7 linked regions of the Canis lupus familiaris genome follow. The protein of the gene in region 4 interacts with the protein of the main gene of each other region in a biochemical or structural test. Links are inferred from orthologs where the notes say so. Each region holds a gene or a part of one and is shown on either strand. Other genes may lie near its edges.

Evidence for each region.
Region 1: the proteins of AKT1 (region 4) and PPP2R1A form a complex in vitro, tested with the Homo sapiens proteins (2 studies listed by BioGRID and IntAct, with this or other methods). The link is inferred for Canis lupus familiaris from reciprocal best matches to the Homo sapiens genes AKT1 and PPP2R1A.
Region 2: of the proteins of AKT1 (region 4) and CDKN1B, one has a biochemical effect on the other in vitro, tested with the Homo sapiens proteins (2 studies listed by BioGRID). The link is inferred for Canis lupus familiaris from reciprocal best matches to the Homo sapiens genes AKT1 and CDKN1B.
Region 3: of the proteins of AKT1 (region 4) and MXD1, one has a biochemical effect on the other in vitro, tested with the Homo sapiens proteins (2 studies listed by BioGRID, with this or other methods). The link is inferred for Canis lupus familiaris from reciprocal best matches to the Homo sapiens genes AKT1 and MXD1.
Region 5: of the proteins of AKT1 (region 4) and MAPKAP1, one has a biochemical effect on the other in vitro, tested with the Homo sapiens proteins (3 studies listed by BioGRID, with this or other methods). The link is inferred for Canis lupus familiaris from reciprocal best matches to the Homo sapiens genes AKT1 and MAPKAP1.
Region 6: the proteins of AKT1 (region 4) and NF2 form a complex in vitro, tested with the Homo sapiens proteins (2 studies listed by BioGRID, with this or other methods). The link is inferred for Canis lupus familiaris from reciprocal best matches to the Homo sapiens genes AKT1 and NF2.
Region 7: of the proteins of AKT1 (region 4) and PPP1CA, one has a biochemical effect on the other in vitro, tested with the Homo sapiens proteins (3 studies listed by BioGRID and IntAct, with this or other methods). The link is inferred for Canis lupus familiaris from reciprocal best matches to the Homo sapiens genes AKT1 and PPP1CA.

Annotation. Positions count from the first base shown.
Region 1 is NC_049222.1:105,602,393-105,605,892, forward strand, and holds part of PPP2R1A (serine/threonine-protein phosphatase 2A 65 kDa regulatory subunit A alpha isoform), read right to left. Parts: intron 2,240-3,500; coding exon 2,066-2,239; intron 1,800-2,065; coding exon 1,739-1,799; intron 1,103-1,738; coding exon 948-1,102; intron 1-947. UniProt on the Homo sapiens protein: The PR65 subunit of protein phosphatase 2A serves as a scaffolding molecule to coordinate the assembly of the catalytic subunit and a variable regulatory B subunit.
Region 2 is NC_049248.1:12,564,997-12,568,035, reverse strand, and holds CDKN1B (cyclin-dependent kinase inhibitor 1B), read right to left. Parts: upstream 1,648-3,039; coding exon 1,173-1,647; intron 623-1,172; coding exon 501-622; downstream 1-500. UniProt on the Homo sapiens protein: Important regulator of cell cycle progression. Inhibits the kinase activity of CDK2 bound to cyclin A, but has little inhibitory activity on CDK2 bound to SPDYA. Involved in G1 arrest. Potent inhibitor of cyclin E- and cyclin A-CDK2 complexes.
Region 3 is NC_049231.1:69,850,522-69,854,562, reverse strand, and holds the start of MXD1 (max dimerization protein 1), read right to left. Parts: upstream 2,801-4,041; 5' UTR 2,716-2,800; coding exon 2,643-2,715; intron 1,976-2,642; coding exon 1,876-1,975; intron 1-1,875. UniProt on the Homo sapiens protein: Component of a transcriptional repressor complex together with MAX. In complex with MAX binds to the core DNA sequence 5'-CAC[GA]TG-3'. Antagonizes MYC transcriptional activity by competing with MYC for MAX binding.
Region 4 is NC_049229.1:72,734,917-72,738,870, forward strand, and holds the start of AKT1 (RAC-alpha serine/threonine-protein kinase), read right to left. Parts: upstream 2,801-3,954; 5' UTR 2,757-2,800; intron 1,414-2,756; exon of another isoform or gene 1,395-1,413; intron 926-1,394; exon of another isoform or gene 802-925; intron 464-801; 5' UTR 371-463; coding exon 325-370; intron 1-324. UniProt on the Homo sapiens protein: AKT1 is one of 3 closely related serine/threonine-protein kinases (AKT1, AKT2 and AKT3) called the AKT kinase, and which regulate many processes including metabolism, proliferation, cell survival, growth and angiogenesis.
Region 5 is NC_049230.1:57,532,008-57,535,962, reverse strand, and holds the start of MAPKAP1 (target of rapamycin complex 2 subunit MAPKAP1), read right to left. Parts: upstream 2,801-3,955; 5' UTR 2,526-2,800; intron 1-2,525. UniProt on the Homo sapiens protein: Component of the mechanistic target of rapamycin complex 2 (mTORC2), which transduces signals from growth factors to pathways involved in proliferation, cytoskeletal organization, lipogenesis and anabolic output.
Region 6 is NC_049247.1:23,221,827-23,225,976, reverse strand, and holds the start of NF2 (merlin), read right to left. Parts: upstream 2,801-4,150; 5' UTR 2,431-2,800; coding exon 2,317-2,430; intron 1-2,316. UniProt on the Homo sapiens protein: Probable regulator of the Hippo/SWH (Sav/Wts/Hpo) signaling pathway, a signaling pathway that plays a pivotal role in tumor suppression by restricting proliferation and promoting apoptosis.
Region 7 is NC_049239.1:50,565,326-50,569,404, reverse strand, and holds the start of PPP1CA (serine/threonine-protein phosphatase PP1-alpha catalytic subunit), read right to left. Parts: upstream 2,801-4,079; 5' UTR 2,705-2,800; coding exon 2,650-2,704; intron 2,125-2,649; coding exon 1,993-2,124; intron 1,837-1,992; coding exon 1,606-1,836; intron 1,050-1,605; coding exon 945-1,049; intron 749-944; coding exon 525-748; intron 442-524; coding exon 307-441; intron 230-306; coding exon 119-229; 3' UTR 1-118. Other genes in the region: TBC1D10C (carabin), read left to right, coding at 3,979-4,079. UniProt on the Homo sapiens protein: Protein phosphatase that associates with over 200 regulatory proteins to form highly specific holoenzymes which dephosphorylate hundreds of biological targets.

The sequences.
Region 1 (3,500 bases), on a different chromosome or scaffold from region 4:
CTAATTTCCATTTCCCCCTCCTCTCACCAGGCCACCTCAGTGATTATCAGGCCTGAGGGTGATGCTGAGCAATATGGGGAACTCTGGGCACAGGTTCACCCACCCTGGGGACAGCTGATTCTTCCAAAGCTACCATCTCCACTAATACCCTCCTAATGCCCTAATACCACTGTCTCCCTATTCTGGAAACCCCCAGCCCAGACTGTCCTGGTCTCATTTCTCCATCCTCAGAATTCCTTTTATCCTCTGGGGATGCTTGATTCCTAACCCTCGGGGATGCTTTCCTTAGCGCGATGCTCTCCAAAGTGGGATATGGGAAGAAATCAGAACACTAAGTTCTATTAATATTTTAAAATTCTATCTTTTAATTTCTAGTTATCTATATGATTTACTTAAACGGATAAAAAGGAGCCCTTGCTCCTATTAACATAACTGCTCTAAAACCTTTGCACATATAGCCAGATTAATCTTCACCACTTCGTGAGTAAGGTACTGCAATTACCAGCATGAGTGCTCTGTCCCCCTCCCATCCTGCACTTCCCTAGGATTCTAAACTAAAGCACTGAGCAGTTAAAAAGCATCCCAAGGTCCATGACTAAAACATGGCAGAGGTAGAATTAAAGAGTAGCTCTGATTGTAGAACCTGTACACATAACCAACTATCATAAACAAATATACAAATACACTTTGTGGAGGAGAGGGATGCTCGGAAGGGTATAGACAGTCACTGTTCAGCAGGCCAAGTATCCCCAGTCCTGGGTTTCTCACCATACAGGTCCCCACCCTCTGGCCTGTTGTTCCCCCAGGGAATCATCCTTGCCCCACCCAAACCTCACCATGTCTGTGCTCCTAAGCCAGATATCTTCCTAAAGACTCTTGCCATCCCTCCTCCCCTACATACTCCCAGGTCCCTGGGCACAGGCCAGAGGTCAGGCGGGGGCGCTCACATTGATGCAGAAGAGCGTAGTCATGCGGTGCAGGTAGTTGGGGTCCCCGGACATGGCCAAGACCTTAGGGATGATAGTGGCATGGGCCCACTCCTTCCCAAATTTCTCCACCAGCTTCTTCAGGTTGCTGGTGGCTGCCTCACGGATGGCATACACTGCAAAAGGGCAGGGATTCAGGAGGTAAAGGAATAAGCAGGCAGGGAGTAGCAGTCACCTAGGTACTGGGCTACAGGTGAACCAAAGGGTTTGCTGCGTGCTAAAGATAGGGTTTCTTTTTGTACAGTACCTCCCAATGACTCTAAGACATAGGTTTCACTATTGGCCTCCTTTAGAGATGGGTAAACCGCAGCTCTGAGAAGTGATTTGCTCAAGCAAATCATTCCGTAATTAATACTTGGAATTGTTCCGATACAGACAAATGTTAACCTTAATTTTTACCTGTCACTGAAAACTGCTCATTAGCACTTCTCACAATGGCCCTGAAAGACTGAGAAGCCCCCTATTTCACAAAGGAGTGTGCTTGAGATTCCATAGCCAGGGATAGGATTCCAGCCCAGGTCATCCACCCAGTAGCCCTCGCACCCTCTCTCCACTGGACCAGGCCACCTCTATGTGATCTGCTCTGTCCCCCTCCCATCCTGCACTTCCCTAGGATTCTAAAAGCAAGGGAATAAGTCCACACAGCAGCAGATAGCCTGGGAAAGTGACTCCACACCCGTCAGCCCCAGCCAATGCCCATCCAGCCTTCCTGGAATACCAATATCCTCCTTTGTCCCACTAGAGAGACTAACCGTGATCCACAAGCCAGGCCATGCACAAGGAGTTGAGCTTCTCATCAAAGAATTCTACCCCCTGCAGGAGAAAAAAAGGTTAAGGAATCAAGTTTCCAATGATACCCTAGGGAAACACCCACCCAAACACATCGGACACTTCTCAGCTTCACCTGGGGAGCTCCTTTCCCTTCTCTTTTTCTAACTAAAGTCTACTCACCTTATAAGCCCCATTTCCCATGCCTCTTCCTCCTTCTCCTCAGATAGCCCTCACGGGCCCCAGGGACACTGTCATAGCCCTAGACACACTGCACACAATGGTGCTTGGTCCCATGCCACCTTACTCACCAGCTGTCCAGCCAGCAGGGGCATGTACTCAATGATGGCCAGCCGCACTCGCCACTTGGCGTCTTCAGCCAGTTCCACAATGGCAGGCAGCAGGGACTGGGACAGCTGCCGGATGCCAATTACCTCATTCACGCAGTCCAGGTTGGAGATAATGTTGAGCCGCACCTCTGGACACTGAGGAGACAAGGGTCTGAGAAGATGTACCTGGCCCAGAAGAGGGCTGAGAGTTGCCCCTCATCAACTCCATAAAAGTCACACTTCCTGAGGGCCTGCTACTGCCCTGCCCAGCTTCTCCTGAGCAAGTAGCATGCATGGGTTATTATGTGAGGCAGCGTTTTGAATCTCACCACAGACCACAAGACATGGGTAGTTGTTCTGAAGAACCTGCAGGAATTACTACAAAAATATGTTGCTCTGGAAAAAAGAGATGTGATAACATTCCCACTCTGCTGCAAGTCAGTTGGGATCCCATCAGCAAGGGGCAATAACTCCCTGGATATTAATCTGTGACAGGGAAGCATACATCTAGCCTTGAGGGTGGTTGAGGCCATCAAAGTGCCTGCTGGCATCTGATCCACAAGATGCTTGATGTGTGGGAGCTCATTAGTATCCGTTCTCTGATTTTTGTTCTCCCTGCTAGTCTTTGAACTCTGTTAAGGAGCACATCTCATTCATCCTTTATGTCTCCAGTAACTGGCATAGTCTCTGGCCCATAGCAGGTGCTCAATACGTTTCTGCTGAAAGAATGCACAATGGGACAAAAATACTTTTGAGCTGCCTGCTGACTACCAGTATTACGAGCACTGACTTACTATGTATGTATACACATATGTTACTATACATGTACTCACACATACACAGATGTACGTACCCAACCTACTTCCATAAAGTATGTGAACAACGTGTAAGAAAAAATACATAAACACAGTTAGTTCTTATTAATCAAACAGAAGCCCTACTAGATCCTTGTGTCAAATTACACATTCCTAGATGGCAGACATCACAAGGAATCCTAAATTGAACCAAGTAAGACACAATTCAGTGACTCAAGTGAACAAGTGTGCAGTACAATAAAGGGTTAACTCAGCAGGTCCAGGTTGCTCAAATGAGGCACATTCCTAACAAGGGTTGGGTCCTTGACCAGCTTCTGTGAGATCTCTAAGCCCTTGGAATATCCTGCCTGATGAGAGGTCTTTGTGGTTACCTGGGAGACTTGGGCTGTGCCAGACAGACTACGCTAACAACATGACTCACAGCAAGGATCAAGCAATTAACTTGACCTCTGGAGGGCCTTGGAGACAGAGTAACTGAGGTCAATCATACAGGCAGCTCCATTCCATGGCTATGTGACCAATCCCCAATAAAATCCCTGGAAATCAAGGCACAGTGACCTTCAACCACCTTCTGTGGTTGGCAATACTCTATAGGTGCTGTC
Region 2 (3,039 bases), on a different chromosome or scaffold from region 4:
TGCACCCTTTCCCTCAAATTTTAACTTTTATCATTTATTTGCCTTCTTCCCATGTATGGCTCAAAATCTGTTACTGACTCAACTTGAAACCTCTGGGAAAAGAATTCTTATGAAGTGGGACTGAAGCATATCCCAGTTCTTGCTCAGATGGGGGGAAAGAACCTATTGTTCCCAACGGTTTTGGTGGGATTCACAGGGAATTGACCTTCCCACTCATCATCCAGCCTCGGTCACAAGTACTTTGGCTAGGACACTTGCTCTGGTTATTCCGTGTTTTCAAGGAAAAATGACCTCAGGACGTAGACAGTGTGAAAAAAATTACAGGATCCCCACCAGCGATTCCCAGCCTTCCCCATTCCTACTTTTCCACCTCACAAAATAGAAACAAAAACCCACAAGCTCCATTCTGCCAGCAACCACCAAGATTGGGTATCTCGGGGTGTGAAAGCCCATTTCGGAGTGTCAGTTTCTTGCTCCTAGTCATCAACCCACCGAGCAGTTTACGTTTGACGTCTTCTGAGGCCCGGCTTCTTGGGCGTCTGCTCCACTGAACCCGCGTTCGGGGAACCGTCTGAGACGTTTTCTTCTGTTCTGTTGGCTCTTTTGTTTTGAGGAGAGGAATCTAAGGGCAGGAGGGAATTTTAAAAAGAACACACACAATCTTTATTAGAAAAACAATGGCTGACACAAGTTGGCACAATAGTCAGGGGATGAAAAACCCACACCTCCACCCACCATCCTGGATCCGTCATTCCCGGTGGCCTTTAAGGGCACAGAATGAGGTTGTTTTCACATAACAGAAAGTGTATTCTATGCCCCTAGAGCTGTCTCGCTGTCTCTCTCTCTCTCTCTCTCTCTCCCCACTGCAAAGAGGGAGGCCGTTGATAAACATCCCAACGTAGTCACAGACCCAGCGCTGGCCAGCCGGGAGGAACTGCGATGTTTTCGGTTGGAGCAATGATCAGATAACAGCATCTCACTGACTTAAAAACAGGCTCCTGACTTAAAAATCATAAGCAGCCAGGCAGCCAGGCGGACAAGCATTTAAAACCCAAGAGGAGGGCAGTTCGCTCCCCCCACCCACCTCCACTACATCGGAATACTCTGGAAAAGCAAGCTGCGGTTAGGGTCCTGGGCACCCAGACCTTCTCTGCTTGGGGAGGGGTCGTTACCGTCGGTCGCGGGTCGCTTCCTGATCCCAGTGCACTGCTCCGCTAGCCCCGTCTGGCTGTCGGGCGCATCAGTCTTTTGGTCTACCAAGTGTGTGTCCTCTGAGTTGGCCTGAGACCCCAGTAAAGGCCCCGCCTGGCGGGTCCCGCTGACGTCCTGGCTCTCCTGCGCCGGCACCTTGCAGGCGCCTTTGGGTGGCCGCGGGGGTCTGTAGTAGAACTCGGGCAAGCTGCCCTTCTCCACCTCCTGCCACTCGTATTTGCCCTCCAGGGGCTTGTGATTCTGGAAATCAAAATTCCACTTGCGCTGGCTCGCCTCTTCCATGTCTCTGCAGTGCTTCTCCAAGTCCCGGGTCAACTCTTCGTGGTTGACCGGGCCGAAGAGGTTCCTGCAGGCGGAGGGCTTGGGGTACTCGGCCTGTCTGGCGTCCATCCGCTCGAGGCTCGGGCTCCCGTTAGACACTCGCACGTTTGACATCCTCCTCCCCGGTCTTCACGACCGCCGCGAGCGCGCGCGCTCTCTCCCTCTCTCGGAAAACAAAACTGAACAAAACAAAACGCCCCGACCCAGCCCGAACCGCCCCCTAGAAAGCCCTGCGATCGCGCTCGGAGCCAAGAGAAACAAACACGCGCAAGTAACTGCCCGAGCGTCAGGGGCGCGCTGGCCCGGGGGAGGCGGGAGGCGGGAGGGGCAGGGGTGAGGGGTGAGGGGAAGCCCCGGCCCGGCAGCCGAGAGCCGCCGCCGCTCTAGCGGACCGGCGAGCGGGAGGGCGGGGCGGGGAGGGGAGAGGAGAGGAGAGCAGAGCAGAGGCGAGCAGAGGCGAGCAGAGGAGGGCAGAGGAGGGGAGGGGAGGGGCGGCAGAGCCAGTCCAAGCCCGGGCTGCCGCGAGCCCGCGGGTCCCGCCAACCGAGCGGCTCTCCAAACCTTGCGGACGTCGGCGTCGCGGAGCGGCGAGGCAGTGGGGACAGGGGAAGGGGAGAAAAACACCCCGAAAGGACGAGCCCCCTTTTTTTTAGTTGCCCAATATGGCGGTGGAAGGGAGGCTGACGAAGAAGAAAATGATTGACACCGCAAGTCTATTTAAACAGAGGAGGAGATCCATTGGTTGCGGCGCCGGGAGCCGCCCCGCCGAGGCTGGCGAGCGCGGCCTTAAGGTGGCCCCGGCGGCCGCGACGCCTCCCGCTCGCCCCGCCCCGCCCCGCCCCGCCCCGCCCCGCCCCGCCTCCCCGGGCGCGCGCCCGCCTCCGACTGCGCCGCCCGGAGCCTGGCTGGTCGCGTGACTCCGGAGGTGCGCGGCTGCCAGCAAACCTGCTCCGGCTGGCCTCGGAGAAATTAAAAACGAGACAAACAAACTAGCCAACCGGCCGGGAAGCCGGGGAGGGCGGGGGCGGGGGCGGCGGGGCCGCGGGTTCAGGTCCCCGCGCTGCGCTGCCTGGCGCGCCCGCTCCGCGCGCGGGGAGACGGAGGGGGCAGGATCAGATGACCTCCTAGGTGGCCCGGTGGCGAGCTCGTCTTCCCCGCGCTCGCCGAGCCGGGGGTGCGGGCCGCGGGGGGCGGAGGCTGGCCGTGGGAGCTCTGCGCCCCCAGCTGCGCTCTCCCCGCCCGCCCCCCCCCCGCTGCGCTCTCCCCCCCCCCCCCCCCCCCCCCCGGCTCCGGCGCTGCGGGGAGGCTGGGCGGCCTTTGGCGCTCGCGGAGGGGCCGGGAGCCGCGCCCCCGCCCCCGCCCCCGCCCCCACCCCGACCTGGGTGCCTCTGCTAGCGGGGAGCAGTGGTTAGCTCCCTCTGAACCTAGGAGGCTCTGCTGTTCTGGGGGAGGCGGGAGCTCTGGGAAGACGCCAAGGCGAACGTAGGCGCAGCACTTCTCATGTAT
Region 3 (4,041 bases), on a different chromosome or scaffold from region 4:
GGTAAGGGTCATTCCCAACGGGGCATGAAGGAAGTGACCACAGTAAAACAAAACAACCTGCTCTTGCTTCACGTTTGCTTGGTGCCATCTCCAGGCTTAATCACGGCCTCTCGGAGATCCGGCACCACGCAGGTACTACGCTAATTCATTATTAGTCAGGAATATGGGAAACTGTGACAGCCTCTGGTCTGTAACCGTGGAAAGCACACCAAGCCCATTAACAGAAGAGAGCTCTTCCCAAACTCAGAAGTCACAGCTATTTTCTCCGTAATAACGTTGGATATTAAAGAGAATCTGCTTCGTGGCTTGCGATTCTCAGCTATCATTATTTTTCTTTCCTAATCACCTTCGGGGACCAGCCTACTTCTCTCTCTCAACACCCTTTGCTCTTCCTCTCCCCACCACTGAACCTCCCCCAACTTTCCTGCGAAACTTAGGAAAAAATAAAGTGCTGAGGATTAAGCCTTGACGAGTAAGGTGGACAATTCCTCCTAAACCATGAACGGACAGGAATAAAAGCAACAGTTGGGCTACCTTCTCAGGAAAAAATACGCCAACAAGCTTCAAAATTCTTCCAAAAATTAAAAAAAAAAAAAAAAAAAAGACTAACAAGATGCAACACAGCTAAATTGTTTTATAGCACTGCAGGATACAAGTCAGGCCCTAATACCCACACACGGATCTATTCGCTACCACTTTCAGGTAACGCGGAAGATGGGAGGGAAAGAGAAAACTGTGGGGTGGTTAATTACCAGGTTCATCCCTCACGTGCCTTCCTTCCTCGGCAAGAGCCCAGCACATGGGTGCTGCTCACATCCTGTGGTTCTAGCAACACTAAGGACAATGGGATGAATCAAGGACAACAGCAGCAGCAGCAAGAACAAGTGGGTTTAGGTTTAAGTGGGACCTCCTGGCTTTTAGTGGTGTGTGTGACGTCACAGGGGGTGACCAAATACAGTTACTTGCAGGGAGTTATACATGACGGCGGGAGAGGAATAAGGATTGTAAGCCAGTGATGAAAATGTGAGGGGCTTTAATTTACTGGAATGAAAGGTATAAGTAAAGAGACCTAACAGGTTTCCTAGCTAACTTATATTTTAAGGGCAAAGAGGGGGGAAAAAAGGGGGTAGGTTTATTGAGTTCTCATTTATAGAGTACTCATAGGTACTCAGGGCTTTAATGTGATTTCACGGACCCTTAACCACCTGCTTTCCAGTGAGATTCACAGATTTTAAGAACTATAAGCCAAACGTAAAAGGATCGTGGCATATTAATATTTTAATATTAATCCTCCATCACCAAAAGGGAGGTTTCAACCTCAATCATTCCTCTTTGCCATTATAAGTAGATGTAACAGAGGAGATAAACCATTGCATTTAATTTACATGTCGAATATGAAGTCCTACCCCTAAGGCTAAATCAGATACTTTAACGTGTCTGTACAATCTTCACTATGAAAAGTAAAAGAAACGGATAACGTCCAGCCTCTTTGATTATTTAAAAAAAAAAAAAAAAAAAAAAAAAAAGCTTGCCCTGAATCTGCAACTTCTGTAGGCAAAATATTGTCACGGTTACCAATCTCACTGGAAGTTTCCACAGATTTTTGTTGTTGTTGTCGTTGTTCCAAAAGGGAAGAAAAGCAAAAATTAAGTTTAAAAAGTTCATAAAGAAGCGCAAAGCTTTTCCATTTCTCCTTTCTGTCCCCTCAACCCAAACAGAAGGGCTGCTTCCTCCAGTGGCTTAGGACCATGTGCGCCTTCCTGAATCCTGATCGCCACTTAACGCATTTTCCTGGGTCATAATCACCACAGGCCACTTCCATTCTGCAGTTTGTATCGTGATCCGAGAGAGAAAGAGAAAGATTTACGAAATTACCTGCTACTGCTGTTATTCTTCTTGGATTTGTTCCTCCGTTTTAAGGCATCTCTGTCCTTGTTACTGTAGGGTAACATGGAGGCATAACCATGTTCAGCTTCTAGAAAACCGGAGGACCCAGTTAATGAATGAGCCTGGAACCTTCAACACTCCCCCCCCCCCCAGCCCCCTGCACAGGAGCTCCTTGTAGACCTTATTTTTCATCACGAGCATGTGATGAAAAGAAATTTCTGTGTCAAGAAATAAGCGATGCAAGGTGGAATTCTTAGAACAAGGATTTCTTTTTTTTTTTTAAACTCCTCCCTTAAATTGTGTGAGCACCCTCAGTCCGGAGCAGGTGCAAGGAGCGAGCGAGCTGCTCATTGTTGAGGCTCAGCTCGCGGAGCCCGGGCTGCCCGCTGGGGACGTCCCGCAGGTTGGTGCGCCCTGCGCGGGGCGGCATCCCGGGCACCCCGAGCACCCCGGGCACCCCGCGCACCCCGAGCACCCCGGGCACCCCGCGCACCCCCGGCACCCCGAGCACCCCGTGCACCTAGCGCACCCCGTGCACCCCGAGCACCCCGTGCACCCCGAGCACCCCGTGCACCCCGAGCACCCCGGGCACCCCGCGCACCCCCGCCCCCCCGGGCGGAGCGGCCTCCCCTCGCACCGCGCGTGGGGCAGCCGGAGGGTTGGAGGCGCTCGCGGTCGCGCCCTCCGCCCCCCCAGCGGCCGTGCCCCGCAGAGCCCCCGGCCCCGGCCCGGCGCGGACCCCCGGCCCCGTGCACCTCTCTCCCGCCGCTCCAGGTAGTCGGCCGCCTCCAGCAGCATCTGGATGTTCATCCGAACCGCCGCCGCCATTCTGCACCGGGGGCCGCGGCCGCGGGACCAACCCCCACCGCTCGGGCTCGCCGCCGCCGCCGGGCCCCGCGGAGCAGGGCGGGGAGAGCCTGTCGGGCGACCGCGCTCGCCGGGAGGGAGGGGCCCGGGGCGCTGGGCGCCGCCGACACCGTGACAGCAGCCGGGGAAGAGCCGCCGCCGCCACCGCCGCCGAGTGTTTATCTCCGACTCACCATCCCCCCGCCCCCAGGCCCTGCTCTTGACAGGCCCGCTCCGGCCGCGCTCCCCATTGGGCGCCCGGAAGAACGCCCCGCCCCCGGCCTTGCCCGATTGGGGAGACGCGCCGCGGCCCCGCCCCCTGGGGTCCGCTCCTCTCTCTGGTTGGTCACGCTTGACAAGGCCCGGGCTCCGCCCCCTCCTCCCAATTGGCGGCCGGGTTCGCGACTCCGCCTCGTGCTCCTTGCCCGCTGCCCATTGGCCCGACGCCGACGGCCCCGCTCTGCCTTGCCGCCATTGGCCGGAGCGGGGGCAGCGAGCCGCCTTGCCGGCCTCCCATTGGCGGAGCCGCCGAGACCGCCCAGCCCCGGTGACGTCACCTCGCCGGCCCGGCGGACCCGGGAGGCGGTGAGCGGCCGAGCTCCCGAGCTCCCGAGCTCCCCGGGCCGCGCCGGCTGCGGGGCTGCCCCGGGCGCGGCGCTGACTCACCGGCCGCCGCGGACCTGGGCGCCGCCGCGCATCCCCCGCAGCGAGGGCGCCGGCGGCCTGGAGGGGCCGGGCCCCCGCGGGCGCCACGTGGCTCGCGCCCCCGCCCCCGCCCCCGCCCCGGGCGCCCTGCACCTGCGGGATGACCCGCGTCCTATCACGACGTTCTTTGACCTCAGTCTCGTTCAGGGTCTTTCCTTCCCTTTTAATTGTCGATGAAAACGTTTAAGAAAAAAAAAAAAAAAAAAAAAAAAAAGCTTTCTCTGCTCAAGACTATGGATGGGGTTTGTGGGGGGGGGGGGCGGTGCCAATAGAAATATATGGAACTAAAAAAATTAAGGATTTAAGCCCTATCAAGATTTTTGAGAGGAGAGCCGGCTGGAGGCCCAAGTTACCCTGTTAATATACTGACATCTGCATTTTAAAAAGGAAGAATAAATGTCTTGGTCAGCTTGGACAGATTCCATACAGCTTAAAAAAAAAAGTTTACTGTTGCCAATACATGAAAATAAGAGCTTTACTGTTTCACGTGCATTATCACTAGTCCTCCGTGCAACCCCATTAGGTAGGTTAATTATCTACATTTTGCATACAAGGAAACGGACCCAGAGACGCTAAATGACTTTCCTTGTCATCCATTTAGCC
Region 4 (3,954 bases):
TCGCTGCTCCAGCACATGCACGCCCCGTGCCGGGCCCCGGGGTGGTGCGGAGCCCCCCCAGCCCAGGCCCGAGGCGGGCAGCAGGCCAGGCGCAGCACCTCAGCCCTGGCCTCAGGAGCCCTCGGGCAGTGCCCCGGGCCGCCAGCGAGCCAGGCCTTGGACGCGCCCCAGTGGCCTCCCTGCCTTCCAGGAAAGCGGGCAGGGAGGTGGCGGTGGCTCTCCCGCCCTAGGGACCCGGCCAGGCGGCCACTACGCCAGCCCGGCCACCCGAGGGGAGCCGGCCCCGGGACCCCTGCCCCAGCCCCAAGCCCCGCGGGCACTGACCTCTCTTGTGCAGCCAACCCTCCTTCACGATGGCCACGTCGTTCATGGCGCCCTGCTCCAGCGGGCCGGGGCCACCCCAGCGCCCCTCGCTGGCCCCTCTCAGCAGGGTCTCCCCGAGGCCAGCCGGCGTACCCAGCCTCTGGAAAAATCAAGGGGCAGCGTGTGAGGTTGTGTCCACCCCTCCAGCCCCACGGTGAGGCCAGGAGGCCCTGCGCACCCAGGATCCCCTGCGGGGTCCTCCCACCCCCTCACAGCCCTGAGCCACAGCCACTCCCCATGGCTCCCACCACGGCCCCCGACAGAGTCCAGGTTACCAGCCCTGCTCCCTGGGGCCGAGGCTGCAATCCCCCTGCCACCCCTCTCTGACCCCCAGGTCCCCAGGGTCTGCTGGCCCTCCTACATTCCCACTTCCCCCCGCCTGGCCACAGACCATTCCCCACCCCAGAGGCCCTCCGGGTATATCCCAGCCTCCCTAACCTGCCACCTCCTCCAGGCAGCCCCTCTGACTGCTCTGGTCTATGCTGCTTGGCCTCTCCAGGGCCCTGGTGAGTGCCCCTGAGCTCCCTGCCCACAGGCCGGGGTTCCTCCTTCTCGCCCCAGACTAGGAAAGAGGAGAAATTCAAACAGAACAAAGTAGGGCCAGGAGACCAGGCGGCTGGCGCAAATGAGAGCCCGGAGCCCTCCAGGGTGACATAAAATACCTCCCCCCAAGAAACCCCAAGCCCCTCCTAAACCACAGCACCCCTGCCGGTCTGAATCTGGTTCATTCATCCGGCCAGCACGGACCAGGCATCTCTGGTTTCGCCAGGCTCGGCCCCGGGGACAAAGAGAGGTTCACATGGTCCCATCTGAGAAGCACCCAGTCCAGGCTGGTCACAGACCCATAATTACAGCATTCAGGAGGCAACAAATGGGGGGGTGCTCTAGACAAATGCAGAGGCCCTGGCACCCGCCCTGGCCCACCAGCAGCCTTCCCTGGAGCAGACACTCTGGCCATTGAACCTGAGGGGCCCTCCCCGTCGCTCCCTGCTGGATGAACTCCTAGGCATCCCTCAAAACCCAGTTCACACCTTCACCCACTCTGTGCGTCCTGGGAGAGAGCACTCTTCCTGGGCGCAGTCCTCTGCGAGCCCTCCACGCGAGCACTGCCGAGGGCAGCCCGGGAGCCTCTCGACTCGGGGACCTCGGGCCCAGGACGCCAGGGGACCTCCGCAGCGAGCCCAGCTCGGCTCTTCCTACAGCTGCCTAGGCACCCTCTGGCCACGCACCTTACCGGCCTCCTGGGGCAGGGTGAGGACCCAGGGGAGGCTGCTCTGAACCTACGGTCTTAGGCTAAATTTAGAAGAGCGAGAAGCCCCCGCTGGCTGTGTGTACCGCCAGGCCAGGGAACACACTTTGCCCAGGGAGAAAGTGCCCAACGGGCCCCGCAGGCCACCGGCAGCCGAGCGCGGGGAGCAAGACCTCCAAGGACAGGGCTCCGAGCCCCGAGCCCCGGGGCAGGCCGGGGCCCCTCTGGGGACACAAGTGGGCGTGGCCTGGAGGCAGAGGGCTGGCCTCGGAGACCTCTGGATGTCCCCCGCCCCCACCCTGGCCTACGTGGGGCCGCGGCTGACAGAGTCAGACAGCTGTCGAGCCCCGCGTGTAAAAATATATCTGTGCACACACACAGGCTGGTGTGCATCTGCAGAGAAACGCACGCAGCAGGCCAGCGCGGCAGCCTCGGGGCGCACTCGGGGCGCACGGCCGCAGGGACGGGGTCCCCGTTTCCCACGGCTTCCGGACCCCAGGGCCTCCACCCCGAGGGCTGCTAGCGTCGTTATTATTTAGGGGATGGCTCAGGAGGCGCTGCCTGCGCTCACAGGGCCCCTTCCTCTGCCTCCAAAGGCCGCCGTGGGGCCGCGGGCTCAGCTCGCGCAGGGCAGGGGACCCAGGCCCGCCAGGCGCCCCCGCCCTCCCGTTGCACCGGGCTCGGGGCACACCCGGGCCCCCGCCCCCCGACAGCGCGCAGGAACCCCCGGCCGGGTGGGCGGCGCCCCCGGGCCCACCGCTCAGGCGCAGGCTGCAGGCCCGCAGCGGGCGCGGCCCACAAAGGCCGCCGGGCACCTCGCCATCACGTACAACTTTCCGTCTCGCGGCCGCGGAGGGCTCCGCCGCGGGGCCCCCCGCAAACTCGCCGCGGCCGCCGCACCCCGCGAGCGCCCCGCGCCCCGCGGCCGCCGCCTCCAAGGTCAGGAGGGAGGCCGGGCGCACCCCGCACCCCGCCGCCCGCCGCCCGCCGCCCCGGCCCGGCCCGGCCCGGCCCGCGCCCTCCCCGCCCAGGCCGCGCTCGGCCACTTCCTGCTCCGCTCCCCGCCCCCGCCGCGCCCGGGCCGCCGCCGCCAACAAAGCGCCCGCGGGAGGAAGTCGGGCCGGGGCGCGGGCGGGGCACTCACCGGGCGCCTCCGGGCCGAGCGCGGGCCTAGCCGGGCCGCGGCCTCCGGCGCCCGCCGCTCCGCATCCCCGCGCGCCCGCCGGGCGGGGCCGGGCTGGAGGCCGCGGCGGGCGGGCGCTGGGCGGGCGGGGCTCCGCGCCGCCGGGCCCGGTGCTCGTGGCGGCCGCCGGCTCGCGTCCCCCGGCTGCGCTGCTGCGCTGGCTGCGCTGGGCCGCCCGCCCGCCCGCCCGCCGCGCTCGTCCCGCCGCCGCCGCCTCCGCCTCCGCCGCCGCCGCCGGCCCGCCCTCTCCCCGCCCCGCGCCGCCCCGCCCGGCCGCCCGCCCACATCCGCCTCCGCCGCCCGGGGCGCCCCCGGCGCGGCCGGGGCGAGGGCGCGGCGCCGGGAGCGCGCGGCAGGCGGCAGGCGGCGGCCCAGGCTCCCCGCGGCCGCGTGCTGCCCGGCCTCAGTTTCCCGGCGCGGCCCGGTTCCGCCGCGGCCGGTGGGGCCTTCCCGGGGCTCCTGCCCCCGTGCGCGGGGGGAGGATGCCCGGGGGGGGGGGCGCAGCCGAGGTGACCCTCAAAGGCCCGAGGCACGACCCGGCCCCCCCATGGGGCCTGGGACCCCGGCTGCAATGCGCGCCCGGGACACGGGGGCTGCGGAGGGAGGGGTCCCAGGCCCCCGGGCTGCAGAGCCACCTTGCCCTGGGCACGACCCTCCATCCCTGGCCGCGCCTTCCCAGAGCTGCCCGTGGCCCCGAAGCAAGACACCGACAGCTCTACAGGAGCAGATGGGGGGCTTCCCACGGTGACAGCGGGACAAGCGGGCCCCAGGGACTGTGGCGGCTTCCAGCGCACACCTGGCGGGCGGTGCCTGTCCTGGGCTGGGACAGACACCCAGAGAAGGGCTGTCAGAGGGCAGCCCAGGCCCCTGCCCGCCACCCAGTGGGGCCCCGGCCTCCCACAGTCCACCGGGCAGGGGTGGGCAGCGAGGCGCGGGCGAGGCGGGAGGACACTGCAGATGACCCCTCCCCGGGCCCTGCACTCGGCTAGAGCCAGAGATTTCTCCAACAGCTGCCCCTCCCCCCACCCCTGAGGCCTCCAAGTCTTAGCGATCCTTTTGTGAAAGGAAAACTCCGCGAGTTACGCTCCAGGAGCGTGTGTTCTGTGGGGGAGAGGGCCACTTCGGTTCCTTATCCAGGGTCAGAGTTCCGCCCGGGGGA
Region 5 (3,955 bases), on a different chromosome or scaffold from region 4:
CTCATTAAATATTCACAACACTCCATGAGATCAATATTATCCCCCTATACCAACCCATACTTGAAGAAAATAATGACTGGAATTAAGAAACTTGCCAAAGGTCAAGGAATAAGAGTAGGGACAGGAATTAAATCCAGAGACCACGTTATTCTCTATAGAAGGTCTTCCATTCTTATATTGAAAGTTGAACTGACCCACCTACTACCTTCTCGCCTTGAAAGATCACAGTTTTCTCTACATTTAAAAGACTCTTCTGGGGGAGGGGGGATCCCTGGATGGCTCAGTGGTTTAGCGCCTGCCTTTGGCCCAGGGCACAGTCCTGGAGACCCGGGATCGAGACCCATGTCAGGTCCCTGCATGGAGCCTGCCTCTCCCTCTGCCTGTGTCTCTCTGCCTCTCTCTATATATATATCTATCATGAATAAATAAATAAAAATCTTTATTAAAAAAAAAAAAAAAAAAGACTCTCGGGAAGCCCTGGTGGCTCAGCAGTTTAGCGCTGCCTTCAGCCCAGGGCCTGATTCTGGAGATCTGGGATCGAGTCCCACATCAGGCTCCCTGCACGGAGCCTGCTTCTCTCTCTGCCTGTGTCTCCACCTCTCTCTCTCTCTCTCTCTGTCTCTCATGAATAAAATAAAAAATCTTTAAAAATAATAAATAATAATAATAATAATAAAATAAAAGACTCTCTGTAACATTCATTTTGGCATTCATATTTTTTCTCTTTTATAGTTTCTTCAATATATACTTGTATATAGTGTTATGGTGTGTGAAAGAAGGAAACACATAATGAAAAATGCACAGATGTAGGCATGGGACAGACGTGGGGTTAAATCCTGCCTGTCTCGTACCAAATGTGTAATTTATCCCGAATCTTCCTAATCTGTAAATTGAGGCTAAAATGATTAAGAGAAACCTAAATATAGTTTCAGCACATGGTAAATAACCACATCATGAAGCATTACCTGATCATAGCACACTCCTCGAAAGTTAATACCCCCCCTCACCCCCATGCTATCACTGCATCACAGAAAGTACCTTCACACAGTGTACTTATCACTGTCTTGAAATTATTTCCTTATCTCTCTCACTAAATTGAGCTCCCCACAGGCAAGGACTGAGTCTTACTTATCCATACATTGTCTAGCATGGTACCTGGTGCATGTGTATGTGTTCAGTAAATGTTTGCTAAGTGAAATTATTATAGATATGAGTATTTATAGGATTCCAAAAAAGAAATCTTTCCCAACTGGGGTTGTCTCAAATTGGTGGAGGGAGACCAATTTCTGCTGGGCCCTAGGTAACATCTCAATGAGTAGAAACAAAAGGAGAAATCTAGGCAAGGAGAATGTCCTACAAAAAAACAATGGACAAAGAGAAAACAAATGGGATCTGAGGTGCTACTTATCTAGAGTAAAGGATCAGGGTATAGAATTAAGGAAGGGGACTTTTTCAAGCATAGCTGGAGCCACATCAAGAGGCGTAGAATGTGAGTAGCCTGGCACCACAGTGATTGAAAGTAGATATGAGCATAAAGCTAAATGACAAAGGGGCCACAAGCATGCCTCGCAGGCCCCAGCAAGTGTGTAAACTGAAAAAGATGAACACAATAATCAATGTTCATCAAGAATTCTTTCAGCATTGACTAAGCACCTTGTATGGGCTCACCGAATGAGGAATAAAACATGGTGCCAACTTTTCCTGTTATACTAGGATTTTAAATGAACAATCCACCCCTTTTACTTGTGAGACATAGAATGAGAATGTTGACTTTGTTTGAACTGCCATGTGTTAAGACCTGTCTCCATTTGTTCACATCTGGGAAGCTTTGAACTTCGATGGTTTTGGTTTAAAACATGATGCTTCGCACCGTGCCAAGTACTGTATGGAACAGGCTTCAAAAATTAGGTGCATTCATTCCAAATAAAATCTCAACCAATTTCTGAGTCAACTTTTGAGTCTCCAGTTAAAAGTAATAATCTTGTTTAAACTACTTTTTTGTTTTTTGTTTGTTCGTTTAGCCTTAACCAGATTTAGAAGACCCCTTTGCCATTCTCATAAAAAGCTGAATCCAAGTTCCAGCAGCACTCCAGCTAGAAATAAAAAATAAAAAAAAAAAAAAAAGTGTTGCGAGGCCGCTTACTCCTTTGGGACAATTGTGGAAAAGGAACGCTAAGGAAACAGGGACCACAGAGACAATGCTTTAAACACAATTTTCATGTTACGAAGATTAGGACAACTACATGTTGCCAGGTGGTAGGACCAGAAACTGTCAGAGCCAACCCTCCCCCCCACCCAACACTACCCAGTCCACGGGCTTCTCCTCCCCCAATCAGACACCCAAGCTGTCAGGCTCACAGCAGCCTCCAGTTCTGGAAAAGATCAGGAAACGGATGCTCAATGAAGCCCTGATCAAGGGCCAGGCAGGCTACCGACGCAGGGCAGCGCCCAGAAGGGCCGCTTGGCTCCTCGGGTAGGTTGACCCGAGAGTGAGCGAGGAAGCTAGCGGCTGGGGCAACCTTTACCTGAAGCTGCTGCCACACTACGGGTCGGATCGGCCCGGGGATACGTTCCTGAGGGAAGGGCCCGGCTTCCCCGCGCCTCCCGGTCCCTGCCCCGGCCTCCGCACTCTCGGAATCCTCGGGGACTGGCGCTCCTCCCCGCCGGTTCAACTGCCGTTTTTCTGGCTCGCCCTCATGCCCCCGTCGCTCGCCGCCGCCGCCACCAACGCCGCCGCCGGAGCAGCAACCCTGTTGCCCCAAGTCGCGCCACGACCCGGAACCGCACCCCGCGCACCGGAAGTCCCCGACCGGGAAGAAGCCGGAGCTGGGGACGTAGTGCGCAGTGCGCAAGCCCCAGAGCCGACGGCTCGGAGAGGAGCCCTCCCGGGGGGCGGGGCCGAGCGGGACGTGGTGGTACGCATGCGCGGCCCTTCTGCGGTCGGTGTGAGGCCGGGGTCGGAGCTTGCGAGCTGGGGATGCGGCGGGACGCGCTGATCCGTGGATTCGCGTCGGATAGGGATCAGCATTGGGGTTCGCGCTCACATTTCCTTGGTTCTGCATGGAAAGAAGCCCTCAACCCATCCAGAAATGAGTGATGAGACAGCTCCGCCTCTAGGTCACGAAGACTTGGGTTCAAATGCCAACCGCACCTTGTGTAGCCTCGGAAAGACCCCTGTCCTGGCTGTCGGTTGTGTCATCCGGACAGTAGTTCCGATTTTATTTATTTTTTTTTTAAATATTTTATTTATTTATTCATGAGAGACACAGACTGAGAGATTGAGAGAGAGGCAGAGACACAGGCAGAGGGAGAAGCAGGCTCCATGCCTGGAGCCTGATGTGGGACTTGATCCCGGGACTCCAGGATCACACCCTGGACCAAAGGCAGGTGCCAAACCGCTAAGCCACCCAGGGTTCCCCAGTAGTTCCGATTTTAGAGTATTCCTGTGAGAATCGAATGGGACGATACTTGTAAAGCATTTAGCACAGTGCCCGACGTAAACACCTAGTAAGAATGTTAGTTGTTACCTCTATTATCTGTAAAATGGGAATAACTATCTTCCTCAAGAACTGCAGGGAAGTGATTGTGTGTGTGTGTGTGTGTGTGTCGTCTATATTTCAATATTTCAAATTTCAATATTTCAGATTTCTATATTTCAAAAATGAAAAAAATTTTTTTTTTTTTTTTAAAGAACTGAAGGGAGGTTTCCATGAGCTAAGAGGACTGGCACAGAACAGGAGCTCGCTGTTGGCCTTGTGTCTCCTGACAGAATGGTTGGAGGAAGACACCGTGAAGGGGAAAGAAAGACCCGGGTTGTGCAATATGATCTCTCTCCTAAGAGATGGCCTAGAAAGCCTCTCAAAAATGCACCTTGGCAAAAAGAAAAAGGGGAGGGAGGAGGCCCCAGGGCAACATCACACAACATTGAAGTCACCAACAAATACTCCACATATCC
Region 6 (4,150 bases), on a different chromosome or scaffold from region 4:
GGTTCTCCCCATCCCAGCCCCAGGGCTTGTTATTGGTTTGTTCATTTAGTGATGAGCTGGAATGTTTTAGTGAAATCTATCTCCTTCACATAGTGTTAAGGCCTATGATGTTTTCTTCAGAGAGGCACAAATTCAGTTATGGCCACAGTCATCCTTGGGTGTCAGTGGTTTTAATAGGGCTCTTTCTCATCCCCCTAATCACACCCAGCTGTTAAACTCCATTAATTGTGTTTTAGTCTTCTATTATTTTCATCCATGCCCTGGAGCATAACTTGCTCTACAAAGTAATCCAATCAAGGGTGGCTCTTTGGGGGGTAAAGTTTTTCAATCCCATGAAGGGCTCTTCCCAGCTGTTTTAGTTCTCTGATTCTCTACTGCAAACTAGCTGGCCTACCTTCTAGGCTGGATCTTCATTAAATCCATAACCTCCGGGATCCCTGGGTGGCGCAGCGGTTTAGCGCCTGCCTTTGGCTCAGGGCACGATCCTGGAGACCCAGGATCGAATTCCACGTCAGGCTCCCTGCATGGAGCCTGCTTCTCCCTCTGCCTATGTCTCTGCCTCTCTCTCTCTGTGATGACTATCATATATAAATAAAATTTTTTTAAAAAATCCATAATCTCCTCCCAATTGCCCTTCATCAAATCCTCCACTGTTTTAAGAGTTCCTTTAGGGATACACTTCTCCACATTTTGTTGCAAATGAAGTAACTGCCTTTGGGAAGAGAGCAGGAACTACAGGTTTTAAAGCCGCCTTCTCCCTCCAGGTAAAATCTCTGAGTCCTTGGCGGAAGAGGAAGGATTGGGGGAACACACAAGCCTGAAGTTTTCTCAGTTTGCCTTCTCTGGCATGGAACCACCATTGCACAAGCTGGGCCTGGGCCAGGAGTAACCGGGGCCCCAGTAGTCTCAGCATGCCATGCACAAGGCACAGCTCCCATTCTGTGAATAGGAGCTGGATAGAAGAAGTAAGCCCCATCTTTCAACTATACACATCTGGTACTTAGTCTCAGCAACAAGTAAGCTTATGCAGAATAAGAAACACTGAAATCCTGTTCCTCCTGGGAAAAAAGTGGTCTGACAGGGAGCTAGGGAAGAGGGAGCCCTGTGTTCTGGGTTACAGCAGTCTGGAGTGGAATCTCTACTCTGCTGAATTGGAAGTGGGGAGGGAGGTAGTAGCCTTGGTTCAAATACCATAGACTCTCGCCTTAGCAAATTTTCATAGATTTTCTCAAATAGCCCTTTATTCATTTGATGAATGTTTGCCCTTAGGACCATTTCCAGAAGGTTTAAATAGTTGAGTTTTTTGAAGTAATTTTTCCTAGTCCTCCAAGGGAGGTCAATGAAGCTACTCACACTGTCATACTAGAAGTGAATCATCAGGCTGTTTTTGTGCTATAATAGTAGAGCTGAAGGACTAAGTAGTTGTAACAGAGATCCTATGGCCTGCAAAGCTGAAAATATTTACTACGTGGCCCTTTACAGAAAAAGTTTGTCAACCCCTGACTTAGGTCACTTCTGTCAGTGCTGCTGGTTTCACAGACTACACTTTGGACTAGCAAGGACTTAAATTACATGAGAAGCAGTACTATTTTGGCTAAAAGCTGGACTTAAAATCCCACTTTGCCACAAACTAGATACATAGTTTGGGGTGCCTACCTCATTGGGTTGTTGTGAGAATTAAATGTATTAATGTCTGACTCTTACAACACATTCAACAAATGATAACTGGTATCATCATGGTGTAAACTGCATGAAAAATATTAGACATCAACTCTCATCTGAAATAGTTCACTTCCAGAAAATGGAAGCTTTTGGAAAAAAGGAAGTAAGTATAGATTTTCCAAAACACAAGACGCAACTTTTAATACCTGGGGCACATAAAAATATCTAATGAAGTAAAACAAACAAACAAACAAACAAACAAAAAAAAAACCATAGAGCTGGAACTTAAGCCTGACACTGAAAACCAGAATTTGGCCTTCCACGGACGCTTCCAGTAACAATGAATGAAAACCTGAATGAAGTGCTTCCAAACCCAAAAGCCCTAAGAAAAAAAAGAAAAAGAAAAAAAAAAAAAGCAGCAATTATCTTTAACATGAGGATTTGGGCCTAGATGGCTCCTTCTGGTTCTGGCTGGCTCCGTCTATGCTCAGAGATGATACGAGCTGGATCCCTCAAGCTTCCACCTTGACTGTCACCGCGGCAGGGGCGCCCCAGCTGGTGCCCGACCCACAGCGGGGCCGGGCGAGCGGGGATCCCGCCGGATTCCGCCCGGCGCCCGCTTGCCACAGCCCGTCGGGGTTGCCAGTCGGTTACCTCGCAATTGAACTCCATCTCGGCGTCCATGGTGACGATCCGCACGGTGAACGTCTTGGGCTGCTTCCTCTTGAGCGAGCTGAAGCTCATACGGGAAGCGATGGCCCCGGCCATGGCGCGGGGCTCAGGCCCGGGACCCTCGCGCCCCGAGGCCTGCGCTCTGGACCTGTTAGCCCCCCTGGAGGAGCCGCACAGGCCTCAGGGCCACCATGGTAGCCGACTGGCCCGCCTGGGAGCTGGCTGGTCCGCGCGGGCCCCCAGCGGCCAGCATGGGCCGTGAGGACCCTGCCCCGGGAGCGTAAAGAGGAGTTGGGGGGCGGACCCTTACGGCCACGGGGACGGAACACGAGCCAAGACCAAGCGGATGGGCTCTGCCCGGCGCTCAGGGTCTCGGGCCGGGGACGCTGGGGACGCCCCGGGACTGGGCCCCTAGACGGCAGCGGCCCAGCCCCCGCGCGCCTCGAAGCGGCCGACGGAGGTCTCGGGGCCGCGCTGCGGCCGGGCGCGCACGTGCGCGCGTGGCTGTCACCGTCCTCGCTCCGCGCGCCCGCGGGAAGCGTCCCCTCCCCACAGACCCCGGCCTGCTCCCCGCCCCGCCCTCAGGTCCCCAGATCATTACACGCAGCGCAACCGAACCCGGCGGCTGCCGCCCGGACACCGCGATTGGCTGAGAACCCCAGGGAGGCGGGACTTTTCCTGCCAGTCCACCCTACTTCAGAGGGACTCCACCAATCGGAAGTTCCGCCGTGATTGGAGGCGCGGGCCTGGGCTCGGCGTTGAGTGGCCAGAGTGGCAGTCACTCCGAACGCTTTTGTTCGCAGGGAGTACGCCTACTCTAGCAAGATTGGTTGAGGCAGCGGAGCCCGGCGCGCCTTCCACGGGCAACCACCTAGAGGCTGGCACGCGGCTGCGGGTGGGTCAGCGGGCGCCTGCCCTTCGGACTGAGTACGCGTGCAGTGTGGTACCCCAGAGGGCGCGTGTCGGACACCCGGCGGAAAGCCCTCCTCGGCCCTTAATGGCATATGCTGACCTCTGTGTTTCTCTAAACTTTTCAAGTCACGTGGAAGCTGCTTAGCTTGCTGGCACTCCCCCAGATCGTTCTGCTTCTCCCCGGGAGAAAGTGTGTTATTACCAAGGAAGGGTGATGATTGTACCTACCCCGTGGGGTTGTTGAGGAATTTAAGGACGTTAATACATAGAAAGCTTTAGAACGGTGGCTGCTGGCATATACTAGGTGGAATCCTATGAAATTGCTGTTTTTCATGAGAGACTCCTAACTCTGGGAACTGAACAAGGGGTAGTGGAAGGGGAGGTGGGAGGGGGGTTGGGGTGACTGGGTGACGGGCCCCGAGGAGGGCACTTGGCGGGATGAGCACTGGGTGTTATGCTAAATGTTGGCAAATTGAACTCCAATAAAAAAATTTTTTTTTAATTGCTGTTTTTATACATACACACAGAACAGTCCAAAAAATGAAAGCGTTTCTCATTTTGTATTCTGATTTCCACTTTCAAACCATAGCTGTGTTTTATTTATTTTTTAAATGTCATCAAGTTATAGTGGGTGTGTTGTGAGGTGGGGGTGTATATAGCTTTCTGTATTAAAAATATAAATCCTACTTTTAAGTAACTCTTAATAAGGGACACCTGGGTGGCTCAGTGGTTGAGCGTCTGCCTTTGGTTCAGGCTGTGATCCTGGGGTCCTGGAATTGAGTCCTCCATCAGGATCCCCTCAGGGAGCCTGCTTCTCCCTCTGCATAGGTCTCCCCCCTCTGTGTGTGTGCGTGTGTGTCTCGTGAATACATAAAGAAAATCTTTTTTAAAAAAATAACTCTTA
Region 7 (4,079 bases), on a different chromosome or scaffold from region 4:
ACACCAAGGCTCCGTGTTCCCCGTGACAGGTGGGCCTGGGGGGCCAGCGTGAACCCCCTATGGCCACGTAATTTCTGTACAAATCCACCATCTGGGGCAGAGTGCGGGCACGCGGAGGCTATTTCTTGGCTTTGGCGGAGTTGCGGGGTGGGGTGATGGGCCGGCCTCCAGGGTTCAAGCCACTGAATTGCCCGTATTTCCCCTTGTTCTTGTCAGCGGGCTTGAGTATCTAAAAAAGACAAGAGCTGGTCAAACTCATGGGCTAAGCCACAGGGTCACCAGCCCCCCTCCTTCCCCCATCCCAACCTGGAAGGAGCACATGAGTGTCTCATCCACACTCATCATGGCGCCTGCATTGTCAAACTCGCCACAGTAGTTGGGAGCCGAGAAGAGAGTCACCAGCTGCCGCTTGGCAAAGAATTCATAGCCATCTTCTACCACCTGGATGAGGATGGGGGCAGTTTGTTCAGCAGGTGCTGGCTACCCAGGCCCCACTCCCACCCGCCCCAGAGCTGCCAGCCCACCTGGTGTGCCCGGCAGATGAGGTCCAAGTCGTGCTTGTGCAGGAATTTGGCCACTACCTCAGCCCCAAAGGTAAAGGAGACACCACGGTCATTCTCGCCCCAGCCCTGCACGTCCTTGTCAGGGTCAGACCACAGCAGGTCGCACAGCAGGCCCTGGTCCGGCACGTCTGTAGGCCGCATGATACGCCGAATCTGCTCCATGGACTGCAGGTCTGGGGACAGGCCTGGGGGAGGGCAGGTTACTTGCTTAAGCCTCAAAACAAAGAGTGACATGCAAACCAAGACCACTGGGAGAGGTCTTCCAGGTGACGGGGAAGACATCCTCCAGCTAACAGCCTCATCCCAGGGCTCCCCGGGATGTGGCCCAGGGCTCTTCCTTCCCAAAGAACCCTTCAACATGTACCCTAGAGCCACTCTCACCTCCATGGCAGCAGAAGATCTTCTCATCCACGATGGCAGCAATGGGCAGGCAGTTGAAGCAGTCAGTAAAGGTCTTCCACAGTTTAATATTGTAGCGTCTCTTGCCTGCTGGGAGGAAGGAGATGCCTCATGAGGCCTATCTGCCCCACAGCCAGCCTGGGTCTTGAGGCCCTCCAGACACAGCTGGGAGAAGAGAATGGCAGACAAGAAGAGAATCCCCCCTCCCCCGACTCCGCTGCCTACCAGCCTTCCAGGAATTCTAAAGCAGCTAGGTCCAGAGGAACCTGAGTTCCAATCCGAAACAACCCACCCGCACCCAGTGAGCAGGGCCAGGCCAAGACTAGGCCTGGTTTATCTCAGCTTCTGGTTGGTAGGATCCAGTCCAAATAGGCATCCCAAGTGCCTAATGGATGTCCTGGAGGGGAGTGTCATGAGGCAGGGCCCTGCATTAGAACATGGGCAGTCCTCAGCAGTCACTCCCCAGACCCCTCCTGCGTGCCGGCCCCACGGCAGGAGGGCAGGCAGAGAGGCACCAACTGGTGTGCACCCTTCGCAGAGCTCGCGGTCTGTGGGTAGTGGTCAGACACCAATTCCCCTACTGCCAGGCCTATGTGAGGGTCTCCCCGAAAAGGGAAGTCACTTAAGGACTTGGGCTACTCACACTCATCGTAGAAGCCATAGATGCGGTTGATGCTAGCACACTCATGGTTCCCACGGAGCAGGAAGAAGTTTTCGGGGTACTTGATCTTATAGGCCAGCAGCAAGCAGATGGTTTCCAAAGACTGCTTGCCCCGGTCCACGTAGTCCCCCAGGAAGAGGTAGTTGCTCTCTGGAGGGAAGCCACCATACTCGAAGAGCCGCAGAAGGTCGTAGTACTGGCCATGGATGTCACCTGTAACCCAGGGAACCGGTTCAGCGCTAGGTGCAGGGGCTACACTTGAACCCAGGGCCAAGTTCGGGCTCCAGGGAGCAGCAATGCAAGGACTGGGCGGGGTGAAGTGGGGATTCCACTTTCAGAAAGCCAAAGGGATCTGGGCAGCAGACTCACCGCAGATCTTGAGGGGTGCCTCCAGCTCCAAAAGAATGGGCTGGCTCAGGAAAATCTCCCGTGATTTGAGGCACAGACCACGGATCTCGTTCTCTGTTAGCTGTACATTCTTTCCAGGCCGCGAGCCCTGCACTGTGGGAGGAATGGGGTGTCAAGACTCTGGTCCCTCAGGCAGGAGGAAGGTGGGCGACACAAGTGGCCCTATGGGCACATCTGAGGGCGCCTGGGCCTCCTAGGCCCCTCCCTGCCTAGGGGCAGCTGTTGCTGGTGAGCCTCCCAGGACCTCCGCCTCTGGCCTCCCAGGATGGGACCCCCTCGAGGGGGTGTGCTGTGCGCGGGGGCCTGCCACCCAACACCCCACCCATAGCGCAGGACCCCTGGGAGGGGTGGAGCTAGGCTTCTTAGGTTTCTCCCTCACTCCCAATAGCGCAGGCCAACCCGTGCGCCCCCCGCCCAGGAGGGGGGCTGCTCCCCGTGCCAGAGCGTCCCCGGAACCCCCCTCCCCCGGCGCGCCGCGACTCGGGGGGCGGCTGTGGCCACGGGACCTTGCGGCCCGTCCCCGCCCAGTCTAAGCTGGCCCGGGGAGGGGCAGGCCCGCCCGCGCACCACTTCCGGGCCAGGGCGCGGCGGGCACCGACCTCCCCGGCCCCGGCCAACCTTCCAGCAGGCGCCCGATGATGGAGTCCAGGTTGAGCTTCTCACTGTCGGACATGGCGGCGCCGCCGCTCCGCCCCAGCAGCTCCGGGCCCGCTCCTGCCGCCCTCCCTCCCGCCCGCTGCCTCCTTCCGGCCTGGCGCTCCTTCCGCCCGCCCCGGCCCGCCCCGGCCTGCCGCCCCGCCTCCCCGGCCCGCCGCCCCGCCCTGCGCGCTGCCCCCGCGCTCTAGCGCTCCCGCCGGACACCGCGCGCAGCGGCCGCGGCGGCCCGGGGGGCGGGGCATAGGGGACGGGGCGGGGCTCGGGCTGAGCTCGGCCGTCGGGACGGAGCCCGGCCGGTGGGTGGAGCTCGGAGGGCGGGGTCGAGTCTGGTCCCGCCCCCGAGGAGTTACCCGAGTCCAGTTCCGAGAATATGGGGCCGGAAGTGCTGTGGGAGTTGTTTGTCTCTGTCAGACGCTAACCCACCCCCTGGGCGGGAGCGTGGTATGAGCACATTAATAACCGATGCTCCAGACACTGCGGATCAAGTCCTCGAAGTGCAGAAAAGGAAACGGAGACTCAAGAGATAGCAGGGGGGTGGGTTGGTCCAAAACCCTGGCCTCACATTCACGGGGGGCCTCCACCTCCTGAGTCTCTGCGGCCCTCAAGGCAGCTGGCCAGACCCAGGCACCTGCCGCGGCGCTCTGAACCCATCTTGGTCCACGCTGTGCTGCACGCTGAACTAATTTTTGTAAGTTCCGTTATTGCCTGCTGAGTGCATAATAACGCTGCGTTAGGTATATATTCAAAGCATTACTTGTAAAGAGCAAATATTAAATAAACGAGAATTCTCACTGGAATCTTGAATTGTTTTAACCTCAAAACTGGAGGGGCCTGGCCTCTGTAACTCGGGTGGGTCCTGGACTGGTCACACCCTGCTCTGGAGCCCAAGCCTGCAGCCACCCAGCCCATGGGGAGGGTGGGAGGAGCCCACGGTCCTGGGGGCACTGGGGCAGGCCGGAAGAGCCTCAGAGAGGAAGAGGTGACCCCCCCACACACTTGGGAGGGGAGTGTGGGAGGGGCCCCCCAGCCGGTGGCTGAAGCTGCTGAGAAGGAGGAAGTGAGAGGAGGAGGTGAGGTGCAGCAGGGAGGTAAGCTGGCCTGGGGGGGCAGGGGCTGGGCCTGGGGACCAGCCTCTACACAGAGGTCTGGCTTTTCTGCCATTTCAAGGCTCACTCTCACCCTCACCCTCCCACCCCGATAAAAGAGGGGACAGAGGGGGCTTGGTGAGATGCCCTGAAGTCTGTGCCCTCTGAACCCTGCAGCCAGGTCCCCGGGCTGGGGACCGGCTGGATGGGAGCTCAGGCCCCAGGCTGGTCAGAAGCTGCCTCTCACACTGGCTTTCCCCACATCTTGCAGCCTGTGGTAGCTTGGGTCTGGGGCACCATGGCCCA